3 linked regions of the Canis lupus familiaris genome follow. The protein of the gene in region 1 interacts with the protein of each later gene in a biochemical or structural test. Links are inferred from orthologs where the notes say so. Each region holds a gene or a part of one and is shown in the gene's direction. Other genes may lie near its edges.

Region 1 (4,137 bases):
TGTCCGCGACGGCAGCGGCTCTTGTTCCGATGCGCGCGGACGCTGCCGGCCAAGCGGGTTCCCGACGACCGGCCGAGCTCCCCTGGGAGCCTCCACGCGCGGGGCGACCAGAAGCCCCGGGGTGCGTGTGCGCGTGCGCGTGCGCGAGCGCGTGGAGCGGTTATGCCGAAGCCGAAGCGACACGCCACAGAGTCAGGGTCTCCCTACCGGAAACGCGTGTGGGGTGAAGGCCCGAGCGCCGGGCGCCGGCGGCCACTGTGGAGAGAACGCGCGCCCCCGCGCCCCCGCGCCCTCCCGCCCGCTCCTCCACAGCCCGCAGCGAGGCCTCCCGCTTCCGCACCGCTGACTGGGCGACCCGCCCGGGCGCCGTCCGCAGGCCGCCCGCCGCCGGCTCCACAGCGGGGCCTCCCCCTCGGAGTCCGCCCGCCGCCTCCGAGGAGCCCAACCTACGGCGCGCTCGGCGCCCATTGGCTCGGCGGGACGCTGCTCAGGGCGCAGGGCCCGCCCCCACGTCCCGAGGGCCCGAGGGCCCGTCCGTCGGCGGCAAAGGCGGACCCGATTGGCCCGCGCGCAAGCCAGTCAGACTCCGGGCCGCGGAGCCCCACGGCACTCCCGGCCGGCAGACATCCCGCCCCCGCCGTCCATTGGTTGGCTGAACCCAGCGCTCCCCCTTTACGAGCCCCCACCCCGCGCTCCATTCATTTCACACAATAACGGGCCCAATTGGAGTCAGTTCAACACCTCGTATGAGTAGGCGAGACGATCCGCCGCTTACCCGGAATCGAGACCGGCCACTCGCGCCAACGCCTCCCCTGTTCCTCTGTGGCGAGGCCGGACCACGGGACGCCGCCGCCGCCGCCTTCTGCGCAACGCCAACCGCCCGCCAAAACGGATCCTTCCCTGCGCCTGCGCGGCCAATCCTGCGACCGGACCCTTTCTCCGCCCATTACGCCTGCGCAGAGCGGGGCGCGACTCCCGCCACGACGCAGGCGCCGTAGAGTCGCCGCCGTCTCCCGCCCGCCATTTCACGTGCTCCAAGCGCCGAGCGGAACTGGTTAGTGCGCCTGCGTAAACTCGCCATTTTACTACACATGCGCCCGGCGGGCGGTCGTTTGCAAAAAAAAAAAAAAAGAAAAAAAAATCACCTGATAACCTCGTTCGTAATATATTAGCATTTACCGTGCTTCGCCAACTGAGCGGAACATAATTTCGGGGCGGAATGGATTGAAAATTCATTTAAATACCTTAGGTTCGTTCAAATATGAATGACTGGTTGACGAGCCAATCACAGTAATTAGGAATAATATTACCCGGGAACCAATAGACCTGAAGGGGCGGAGCCTGCGTAGAACGCCCAAGCGGATGACGTTGCGCAGCAGTGCGGGGCTATAGACCAATAGCAGGGGGAGGCTATCGCAAACATCCAATCAGAGACGCTCAGGGGCGGAGTCTACCAATGCCTAAAGCGAGGAGGCGGGATAAAAAAGCGAGGCCGAAGGTAGGCTGGCAGATACGTTCGTTAGATTACTCCTTTCTGCCCCTGGACGCCGCCGAGTAAGCATCGTTAAAGTCTCCCCTCCCACCGCCGTCATGTCTAAGTCAGAGGTGAGTAACACGCTGTCTCCCGCCTAGTTTCCTTCCTCACTCCTTCCCTGGGGCCGGTAGGACGCGGCCTGGCGTGGCCGCTCGCGCCAGCCCGTTCGGCAGCCCTTCGGGGGCCGCCAGGGCCTTCCCCTCCCGAAGTTGAGGTCGCCATTTTGTCCTCGTCGTCGCCATGAGGCCGCCGTCCTGCAGCGCTTGGCTGTGGCGCCGGGCTGCGCCCTCCCGGCAGAACTCGCGGGCGCATTCGACGGGTTTTGTTTGATCGTGTCTCCGGGAGCGAGTTTCTTGCGGAGCAGCCGTAGTTCCCCGCCGCTTCGGCGTCCGTCCAGCCGAGTCCTTTTGTTGCGCGTGCGTCGGAGGGAGAGTCGGGGCGCATGCGCCCGCGGCCTCCCAGCCCCCACCGCTCGGTCCCCCCCGAGGGGAGAAGCACGTGGCCTCCCGTAACCCGAGGGAACAATACGTGCCTTGTAACGCTGCTGTCTAGGATTTTCCTCCCAACGGGACGGGGCTGGGCGTTGGGCGCGCCACGTAACGAGCTGTGTCCCCGCTCCTAGTCTCCCAAAGAGCCCGAGCAGCTGCGGAAACTCTTCATCGGAGGTTTGAGCTTCGAAACGACCGATGAGAGTCTGAGGAGCCATTTTGAGCAATGGGGGACGCTTACGGACTGTGTGGTAAGACGTGCCGGAGACGGAGGGCCCGGGAGCGAGGTGGCTTCCGCCGCTCCGACGGCGGTTAACGGGACTGGGGCGGAGAGCCGGCCGGCGCCGGAAGGGGTGGTCCCAGCCGCGGAGGCGCTCCCGGGAGGAGATGCACGTGTGGCGGCCCCGGGGAGCCGGAGGGCCTCGTGGGCGGGCGGGGGGGGGGGGGAGGGGGCGCGCTTTTCTTTTTTTTTTTTTTTTTCTTTTTCTTTTTTTAATTTGTAACTCAGCGTGAGAAGTTCCGGGGTTCTCCTCAGTATTCAGGGAGCTCACCTTTCAGGTAATGAGAGACCCCAACACCAAGCGCTCCAGAGGCTTTGGGTTCGTCACGTACGCCACCGTGGAGGAGGTGGACGCGGCCATGAACGCCCGGCCGCACAAGGTGGACGGAAGAGTCGTGGAACCAAAGAGGGCTGTCTCCCGAGAAGTGAGTGAGGGTTTATTCTTTCCTGGGCAGACGCAGAAGCGGGCCGCCAAGGGGACCTCGCGGTTAGGGGTGGCTTGGTCGGTGTAAATAACGGAATTGTGTCCGTCCCGTCCCCCCCCCCAACAATAGGATTCTCAAAGACCCGGTGCCCACTTAACTGTGAAAAAGATTTTTGTCGGTGGCATTAAAGAAGACACTGAAGAACATCATCTAAGAGATTATTTTGAACAGTATGGGAAAATCGAAGTGATTGAGATCATGACTGACCGAGGCAGTGGCAAAAAGAGAGGTTTCGCTTTTGTGACCTTTGATGACCACGACTCTGTAGACAAGATTGTCAGTAAGTGTCGGGCATGCTCTTTGCTACGGCTTCTGAAATCCATGTTACGTTCTAAAGCCTGAGGTCATGTTCTCTTGGAATTTTTTTTTTTTTTTTAGTTCAAAAATACCATACTGTGAATGGCCACAACTGTGAAGTAAGGAAAGCCCTATCGAAGCAAGAGATGGCTAGTGCTTCGTCCAGCCAAAGAGGTGCGTTTGTTCAGTTAATCCTTGCACGTGAGGATTAATTAACTGAGTGATTCTCCAATCCGTATAATGTAACATTTAAAACTTTTGTGTTTTAAGGCCGAAGTGGTTCTGGAAACTTTGGTGGTGGTCGTGGAGGTGGTTTTGGTGGGAATGACAACTTTGGTCGTGGAGGGAACTTCAGTGGTCGAGGTAAGTTTACCACTCAAAGTTAACAATAAATTTATACTTTGATTATCCCCAGGTCCCTTTTTCCTCTGCAGCAGATTAACTCCTGGCTTAAATTTTATCCAAGTGTAGATCTGGCTTTTTACTAACCAGAAAGTTAAATCATCAACATTGGGATCATTTTTGTAGCACAGGAAGTATCTTTATAGAATTCTACTTTAAAACAACATAGAACACGTATACTCTGTACACTTCATGGTGGTTTAAAACTCTACTTTCTTTCAGGTGGCTTCGGTGGCAGTCGAGGTGGTGGTGGATATGGTGGCAGTGGGGATGGCTATAACGGATTTGGTAATGACGGTAAGTTTATTTTAAGGAATATATAGGTGGAGTTTCGTTTGGCAACCTTTAGACTAGGTTAGTAGAGCTAAACTAGTGCATGATAAACAGCTCTGATAACAGCATGCTGTGAGCAGGCTTTTAGGCATTACACTTGCACAGGTTTTGACTGTGAAATACTTTTGTCTTATTGAGAAGAATTGTATTCTTGTAGGTGGTTATGGAGGAGGCGGCCCTGGTTACTCTGGAGGAAGCAGAGGCTATGGAAGTGGTGGACAGGGTTATGGAAACCAGGGCAGTGGCTATGGCGGGAGTGGCAGCTATGACAGCTATAACAACGGAGGAGGCGGAGGCGGCTATGGCGGTGGTAGTGGT
Region 2 (3,500 bases), on another chromosome or scaffold:
AATCCAGGTCCTGCCAACTGACTTTAATGATTACAGGATGGTTCTATATGAGCTTTGTTTTACTTCTCTATCCACAGCTCTAGCACAGAGCTGTAATAGGCCCATGACAAATATTAGTTGAAGGAATGAATGAATTGTGATCTGTGTTCTTAGGATGAAAGGGTCACACTATTCCTGGGTCAGCCTGGTGTCTGTGCATGTGGGGACTTGTAGAGCAAAATTGCCTAAATTCTGACCCCTGAACAAAATAGGCCCAGATTAGCCTGTCTCTTTTCGCCCCTGACCCCAGAAGATAGCATTTGGCTTTTCCCCACATTCTTTAAGGCCTGTACAACTGCCAGCTTTTATCAGACATCAGATAGAACTGGCCCCCTTTTACTAGATCGTCCTAGAAGGAATCCCCGGGAGCAGGTGACCCAATTATCTACCACCTCCTCCTGTGTGAGGTAGCCAAATCCCTGACCTCTTTGCTTTGTGCCTACCACTCTTCCCAGTAGAAAACAAGCTGTTGGCCTGGACATTAAATTGGATATGAAAGGGTAAAGAACACCAGAAGCACATTTAACCTCTACCCTGATTTTCTGTTTTTCTTCTCTCTTTAGGGTCTGCAAGTGGATGATGAGATTGTGGAGTTTGGCTCTGTGAACACCCAAAACTTCCAGTCTCTGCATAACATTAGCAATGTGGTGCAGCACAGTGAGGGGGTGAGTTGGAGGTCACATCTGGTCAGTAACCCTAGAATTGCCAATGCCAGGATTGTCTCTGGGGTCTTTCTTTGCGGCCTTCAGAGAGCTGTTGCTCAGGCACAGGGCCTTTGCACTTGCTGTTCTCTCTGTCTGGAATGCTTTTTCTCCCTTATGTGTATCCCTCATCTTGTACAAATGACACCTGGGCTAGGCCTTTGCAGCCACCCTATATAAATACCCTTTTCCTACTTCCTATCCCTTCTTTCATTCAACAGTGTTTCTCAGGGAATCTTTTCACTTTCACATGCCTTGATCTTTTGTCCTGCTGCATGGCACTCCGTTGTAGGAATGTACTCCAGTTTGTCCGTCCCCTGCCTTATCAATGGACATTTTGGTTATTTATGGTTTTATTCTAGCATGAACAGTCATATATCCTTGTTCACAGATGACTTTTTTTTTTTTTTAATTTATGATAGTCACAGAGAGAGAGAGAGAGAGAGGCAGAGACACAGGCAGAGGGAGAAGCAGGCTCCATGCACCAGGAGCCCGACGTGGGATTCGATCCCGGGTCTCCAGGATCGCGCCCTGGGCCAAAGGCAGGCGCCAAACCGCTGCGCCACCCAGGGATCCCAACTTTTTTTTTTTTTTTTTTTTTTTAAGATTTTATTCATTTATTCATGAGAGACAGAGAGAGAGAGGCAGAGACATAGGCAGAGGGAGAAACTCATGAGAGACACAGAAAGAGAGGCAGAGACATAAGCAGAGGGAGAAGCAGGCTCCTCACAGGGAGTCCGATGTGGGACTCGATCCCAGGATCACGCCCTGAGCGAAAGGCAGACGCTCAACCACTGAGCCACCCAGATGTCTCTACGGGCAACTTCTTGATATAAATACCAGAAAGTAAAACAAACAAACAAACACCCCAGAAAGTAGAATTATAGGCTCTCAGTGTATTATGCACACTTATAATAGGTAGTTCAAAAAAGTTTTGCTAATTTGTGTCCTGACCAACATTATGAGTGTACCATATCATCAGTAGTACTCTGTATTACTGATCTTTTAACATTTTTGCTAAAATGACATCTTGCATTAATTTGTATTTTTCTGATTACCAGTGAGGTTGAGTATCTTTTTTTTTTTTTTTTTTTTTTTTTTTTTTTTTTTTTTTTTTTTTGAGTATCTTTATTTTATATTTGGATTAATGTTCATATTTTTGTTTCTGTGGATTGTCTGTTTATATTTTTTCCATTTTTTTAATTGGGCTATTTGTCCTTTTAAAAAAATTGATTTGTTGGAATTTTTAAAAAAGGATTTTTTTTTTATTTATTTGAGAGAGAAGGGGAGAGAGAGAGCTTGAGTACAGAGGGAGAGGGAGAAGCAGACTCCCCACTGGGCAGGGAGCCGGCAGTGGGGCTCTATCACAGGACCCTGAGATCATGACCTGAGTTGAAGGCAAATGCTTAATCGACTGAGCCACCCAGGCACCCAAATTTATAGGAATTTTTTTAACATACTCCAGATACTAAACCTTGGCCTGTTTTCATGATATATATGTTTCTCCTGATTATCTCTTTGTCTTTTAACTTATTTTATGGTGACTTAGAAAGTTTGGTTTTTTTTTTTAAGTTAGTTAACCATTTTGTTACATTTGTTAATATAACAAGGTCTTCCCAGCCAAAACCATACCTGAGAATTTAAAGAAAGAAGGGACAGTGCACAGTAGCAAAGCACTATTCACACAGTAGTACCTTAGAACATGATTCATGTGCAGTTTGACAATTTCAATCCTTGGAAATATAATAAGGGTTGGGATTCAAAATTGGCTGCAATCCACCAGTTTCTGGAATAGTATGCCTTTAAATAGCATTTCTACCTGATCACCTCAGCTCATGGCTCAGGAATGTAACTTTCACAAAAGTTATCTTGGCAAAAAGATCCACACTTTGCAGGAGAAACAGGGACTCAGAGTCCATAGAAATTATCTACAAAAGTTTTTCATTCCCAAATGAAGTATTCAGTTTGACAGTAATTCTTGGTTTGTCTTGCGCCTGCTCAGCTGTTTGGCTGCGTTGCTCATCCATGTGTAACTCTTTGGAAGGCAGGCATTAGGCTGAAACATAGCTGGCTGGTACCTGTGCCCCAGCCAGTTGTCAGGCCTTCATTCTCACACTGACACCTTCACCAAGTCTGCACTTGCATGGAGGAGGTTCAGGAGTTTGATTTTGCCAGATTCATCAGTTTTTTGCTTTATGGTTTTTGCATTTTGTGTCTGCTTAAAGAACTTCTCACGCTTTTATGGATTTGTTTTTAGTTTTTCTTTAATCCATGTGGAATTGATCTATTTATTTTTATTTTTTTAGTGAAGGGAAGAGAGAGAGGCAGGGAGAAGGGCAGAAGGAGAGAGAATCTTAGGCAGGCTCCATTCCCAGCATGGAGCCCAACACAGGGCTTGATTCACAACCCTGAGATCATGACTAGAACCAAAATCAAGAGTCAGCCGCTTAACCACCTGAGACAGCCAGGTGCCCCAGTCTTTGATTATTTCTTATACAACAGTTTTGAGGTATAATTCACATACCATACAGTTTCCCCATTTGGAGTGTCTAGCTCAGGGCACTGGGCTGGCTCAGTCTGTGGAGCATGTGACTCTTGAGGAGTGAGTTTGAGCCCCATGTTGGGTGTAGAGATTACTTAGAAAAATAAAATCTTAAAGAAAACCCTGCATAGCTCCATCGTTTTTAGTATATTCATAGAGTTGTACATCTATTACCACAATTAATTTTAGAAACATTTTCATGACTTCAGAAAGCAGCT
Region 3 (3,500 bases), on another chromosome or scaffold:
AGGAATAGCAGGGAAAACAGAAGGGAAGGAGTGGATGGGCCTGAGTGCCTCCCTGTCCTCTCCACCATGAGACTAGTTTTCCTCTCAGGAGCCAGGGAGGGTTCTGCAGAGCCTTTAGAACCTATGAAGGACAGCCCTGACTTTGGTGCTGCTGGATGCTGCCTGGCAGCCATGTGGAGAATAGATGTGGGCATGAGGGCAGAAGCCAGGAACCAGCTAGGAGGCCATTGTAGGAAGCCCGGTGGCTCAGACCAGGGTGGGGATAGAGACCCAAGTTGTTGTGGTCTGGGGGCACGGTTCCAAGGCCCCCCCCTTCACACCCTCACCTGACCCCTTGGCAGGCACCTGATGGCCTCATCTTCCCGGACCGAGCCACGCTGTATGTGACAGCCATCGAAGACCGGCAGTACAAAGACTACAAGATTCACTGTGAGCTGGGGGGGAGGGGGGCATAGCAGCTTGAGGTGGGGGGGAGGCAGGTTTGGCCTGGGCACCCCTAATGGGCTCACCCCTCCTCCCTGCCTGACACCCCAGGGTGGGAGAACGTGTACGGCTTTGACATGTCCTGCATCAAAGACGTGGCCATCAAGGAGCCCCTGGTGGACGTGGTAGACCCCAAGCAGCTGGTCACCAACGCCTGCCTCATAAAGGTGAGGGGGGCGGTGATTGTGGCCTGGGGTCCCCAGGGTTGGAACCAAAGAAGGCCCACCACCTGACCCCAGCAAGACATCAGGTCCCTCAGTTCCTACCTGAGATCTGGGAGTCCAGCCTGTGACTAGAGGTGGCGCTAGAGGCCTGGGGAAGCTGCTTCATTGCGAGCTAAGCCTGGTGAGCTAAGCCTGGCGGGTGGTTCCAGGCCCCCAGCGAGCAAGACCAAGACCGGACTAGCTGGCCCTGCTCCGGGGGAGAAGCACTCCAGAGGGGTGTCCCTGAGCCAGGCAGCTAGGACCCTTTGCCAGCACACAAAGAGCAGGAAGCCCAAGGCCTAGAGTGAGTTTATACACACGGGGGCTGCTGTTAATCCTTTGTTGTGACCAGTTCATGAGCCCCTTGGTGTCCGGCATGTGCTGGGTTGGGACCGCACTGGGAGCTGGACAGAGGGGTGAATCCTAGGGTTGCTCTGACTGTGAGGGGCGGCCCAAACCTGGTGGAGGAGGAGGAAGTCTAGAGCGTGTGGACACAGAACAGCTGGGAGGGTGGGCGCCAGGGAGCCCTCGGAGGGTGTTGAGCAGGGCTTTGACATGATCTAATTGACAGTGTTTCAAAATTATTGTGTTGATTGGTATGTCGAGTTTAGGGCTATGGTGGGGGGAGGGTGGAAGTTGGGGAGTCCCGAGAAGAGCCACTGTGTGGGTGGCCCCGGGCAGGCCTTGGAGAAGAGGAGCACCAGGCAGTTCTCCCAAGCAGAAGCAGGGGCTCTGGAAAGTAGGACTCTCTAGCCTGGGGCTTAGGATGTGGGAGAGAAGGGAATGGGGGCAGCAGCGTGGCTCCCCCCAGGCTTTTCTGCTGAATGCTGGGCTGGGTGTTGGGGAGTGGGGCTCACGGGGCCTGTCCCGCAGGAGGTGGACATCTATACTGTCAAGGTGGAGGACCTGACCTTCACCTCCCCCTTCTGCCTGCAAGTGAAGCGGAATGACTACGTGCACGCCCTGGTGGCCTACTTCAACATCGAGTTCACCCGCTGCCACAAGAGGACGGGCTTCTCCACCAGTGAGCATGGGGCAGGGCCTGGGGGATGGGGGAGGACCAGGAACCAGTGGAGGGAGCCAGGGGGACACTGGGGACCCAGGCTGTGCTGCAGGCTCTGCTGGCTCCCCTGAGCATGTCATGTCTTCATTTCCCTACTTGGAAACCATAGACAGCAGGCCCTCTTCGAGGCTTGTGGTGGGTAAAAGGATTCAGGGACAGCGGACCCCAGTCAAGGCTCCATAAAGGTCTTGGGGGGTGGGCAGGAAGCCTGGGAGCTGATCTGACTGTATCCCCAGGCCCTGAGTCCCCGTACACGCACTGGAAGCAGACCGTGTTCTACATGGAGGACTACCTGACCGTGAAGACGGGCGAGGAAATTTTTGGCACCATTGGCATGCGGCCCAATGCCAAGAATAATGTGAGGCGCTGCTGGGGGGTGAGGGGGTGGGCTCAGGTGGGGACACCTCTCTCGACCTGTTTTGGAGCCCCAGCAGCCCTCAGCCAAGTTGAGTCTGCCACCCCTGGGGAGACCCTGAGTCAATGGGAGGCAGAGGGTCTGGAACCTGGAGTCCAGGGCAGGGGCCCAGGCTAGGAGTGCCAAACTGCGGGTGTGGTGGAGGGGGTGCCCCAAAGCCATGCCCCTTTTCTAAGGGAGGCTAGAGGTCCTCCACTGCCCACCAGGGGCAGTTTTGCTGCCACCAGTGCCCCCCCCGCCCCGGGACATCTGTTGCTATCTGGAGACATTTTGGATTCTCACACAACTGGAGGAGGGATGCTATTGGCATCCAGCACAGGACAACAAAGAGTCCTGGACCCTGGCTCCCGGTGTCCATAGTAACAGAGTGTGGGAAACCCCAGAGTAAAGCAACAGGAGGAGAGGCCTAGAGGAGCAGGGAGGAAACCTGGGGGCCTGGGGCGCTGCGCTGTGCTGCGCTGCGCCAGGAGGCCTGAGGGCAGAAGTCATCAGGGTTACTGGCGACCTTGGCCCAAGCTTTTCCAGGGAGCACTGGGGGGTGGGGAGCCCGGAAGGAAGATCGGCTTCCAGGAAGCTTGGAAGCAGAGGACGTGCGGACAGTGGGGTTGGGACCAGTGGATCCTGCCGAGGAGGAGGAAGTGTGCTGGAAGAGAGGTTTGCTTCTCAGAAAAGAGGGAAGGAGCAACTTCCCTCTGCTTTACTGATGGGAATGTTTTTGATGGGGAACAGTCTTTATGCAAGAGACAGAGCAGCTGGGCTCTGCCCTGAGCGGGGGCAGGTCTGGCTGGGTTCCAGGTGCGTTTGAGGGTGTCCCAGGAGCTGTCACTGGGAGGCAGGGTTGAGGACATGCTGAGGGAGCAACAGTGTGGAGTCTTCCAGCCTGATGTGGGGTCTCTGGGGAGCCTCTGGGAGGGCTGGCCCCCCTCCCCCTGCTGCTGCCTGACTCAGACAGTTCCAGATATCTGCCCGGTCCGTGTCCGGTCCCCTTCACACGTGCCCTCTCCCCACAGCGTGACCTGGACTTCACCATCGATCTGGACTTCAAGGGCCAGCTGTGTGAGCTGTCCTGCTCCACGGACTACCGAATGCGCTGAGGCGGCGCCCGGCTTCTCCCACCCCGCCCGGGCCGGCCCTGCACGGGCCCAGGGGCTGCGGCATTCTTAGGCAGTTTGGGGGCTCCCCCTTCCTCTCCTTCCCTCCCTCAGAAGGGGGTTTTAGGGGCCTGGGCTGGGGCGGGGCACATCGTGACTGTGTTTTTCATAACTTATGTTTTTATATGGTTGCATTTACGCCAATAAATCCTCAGCTGGGATGGCTTGGCTTCCTGGGGGGCGAA

The links. The genes of interacting proteins can lie anywhere in the genome.
Region 2: the proteins of HNRNPA1 (region 1) and PSMD9 interact in a test that uses a peptide from one of them, tested with the Homo sapiens proteins (3 studies listed by BioGRID and IntAct, with this or other methods). The link is inferred for Canis lupus familiaris from reciprocal best matches to the Homo sapiens genes HNRNPA1 and PSMD9.
Region 3: of the proteins of HNRNPA1 (region 1) and PRMT1, one has a biochemical effect on the other in vitro, tested with the Homo sapiens proteins (3 studies listed by BioGRID, with this or other methods). The link is inferred for Canis lupus familiaris from reciprocal best matches to the Homo sapiens genes HNRNPA1 and PRMT1.

Annotation. Positions count from the first base shown.
Region 1 is NC_049248.1:45,637,809-45,641,945, forward strand, and holds the start of HNRNPA1 (heterogeneous nuclear ribonucleoprotein A1), read left to right. Parts: upstream 1-1,337; 5' UTR 1,338-1,590; coding exon 1,591-1,605; intron 1,606-2,156; coding exon 2,157-2,273; intron 2,274-2,580; coding exon 2,581-2,727; intron 2,728-2,856; coding exon 2,857-3,067; intron 3,068-3,165; coding exon 3,166-3,258; intron 3,259-3,354; coding exon 3,355-3,447; intron 3,448-3,708; coding exon 3,709-3,783; intron 3,784-3,976; coding exon 3,977-4,135; intron 4,136-4,137. UniProt on the Homo sapiens protein: Involved in the packaging of pre-mRNA into hnRNP particles, transport of poly(A) mRNA from the nucleus to the cytoplasm and modulation of splice site selection.
Region 2 is NC_049247.1:7,617,071-7,620,570, reverse strand, and holds part of PSMD9 (26S proteasome non-ATPase regulatory subunit 9), read left to right. Parts: intron 1-602; coding exon 603-704; intron 705-3,500. UniProt on the Homo sapiens protein: Acts as a chaperone during the assembly of the 26S proteasome, specifically of the base subcomplex of the PA700/19S regulatory complex (RC).
Region 3 is NC_049222.1:107,526,227-107,529,726, reverse strand, and holds the end of PRMT1 (protein arginine N-methyltransferase 1), read left to right. Parts: intron 1-341; coding exon 342-429; intron 430-534; coding exon 535-650; intron 651-1,559; coding exon 1,560-1,710; intron 1,711-1,985; coding exon 1,986-2,107; intron 2,108-3,174; coding exon 3,175-3,258; 3' UTR 3,259-3,476; downstream 3,477-3,500. UniProt on the Homo sapiens protein: Arginine methyltransferase that methylates (mono and asymmetric dimethylation) the guanidino nitrogens of arginyl residues present in proteins such as ESR1, histone H2, H3 and H4, FMR1, ILF3, HNRNPA1, HNRNPD, NFATC2IP, SUPT5H, TAF15, EWS, HABP4, SERBP1, RBM15, FOXO1, CHTOP, MAP3K5/ASK1, MICU1 and NPRL2.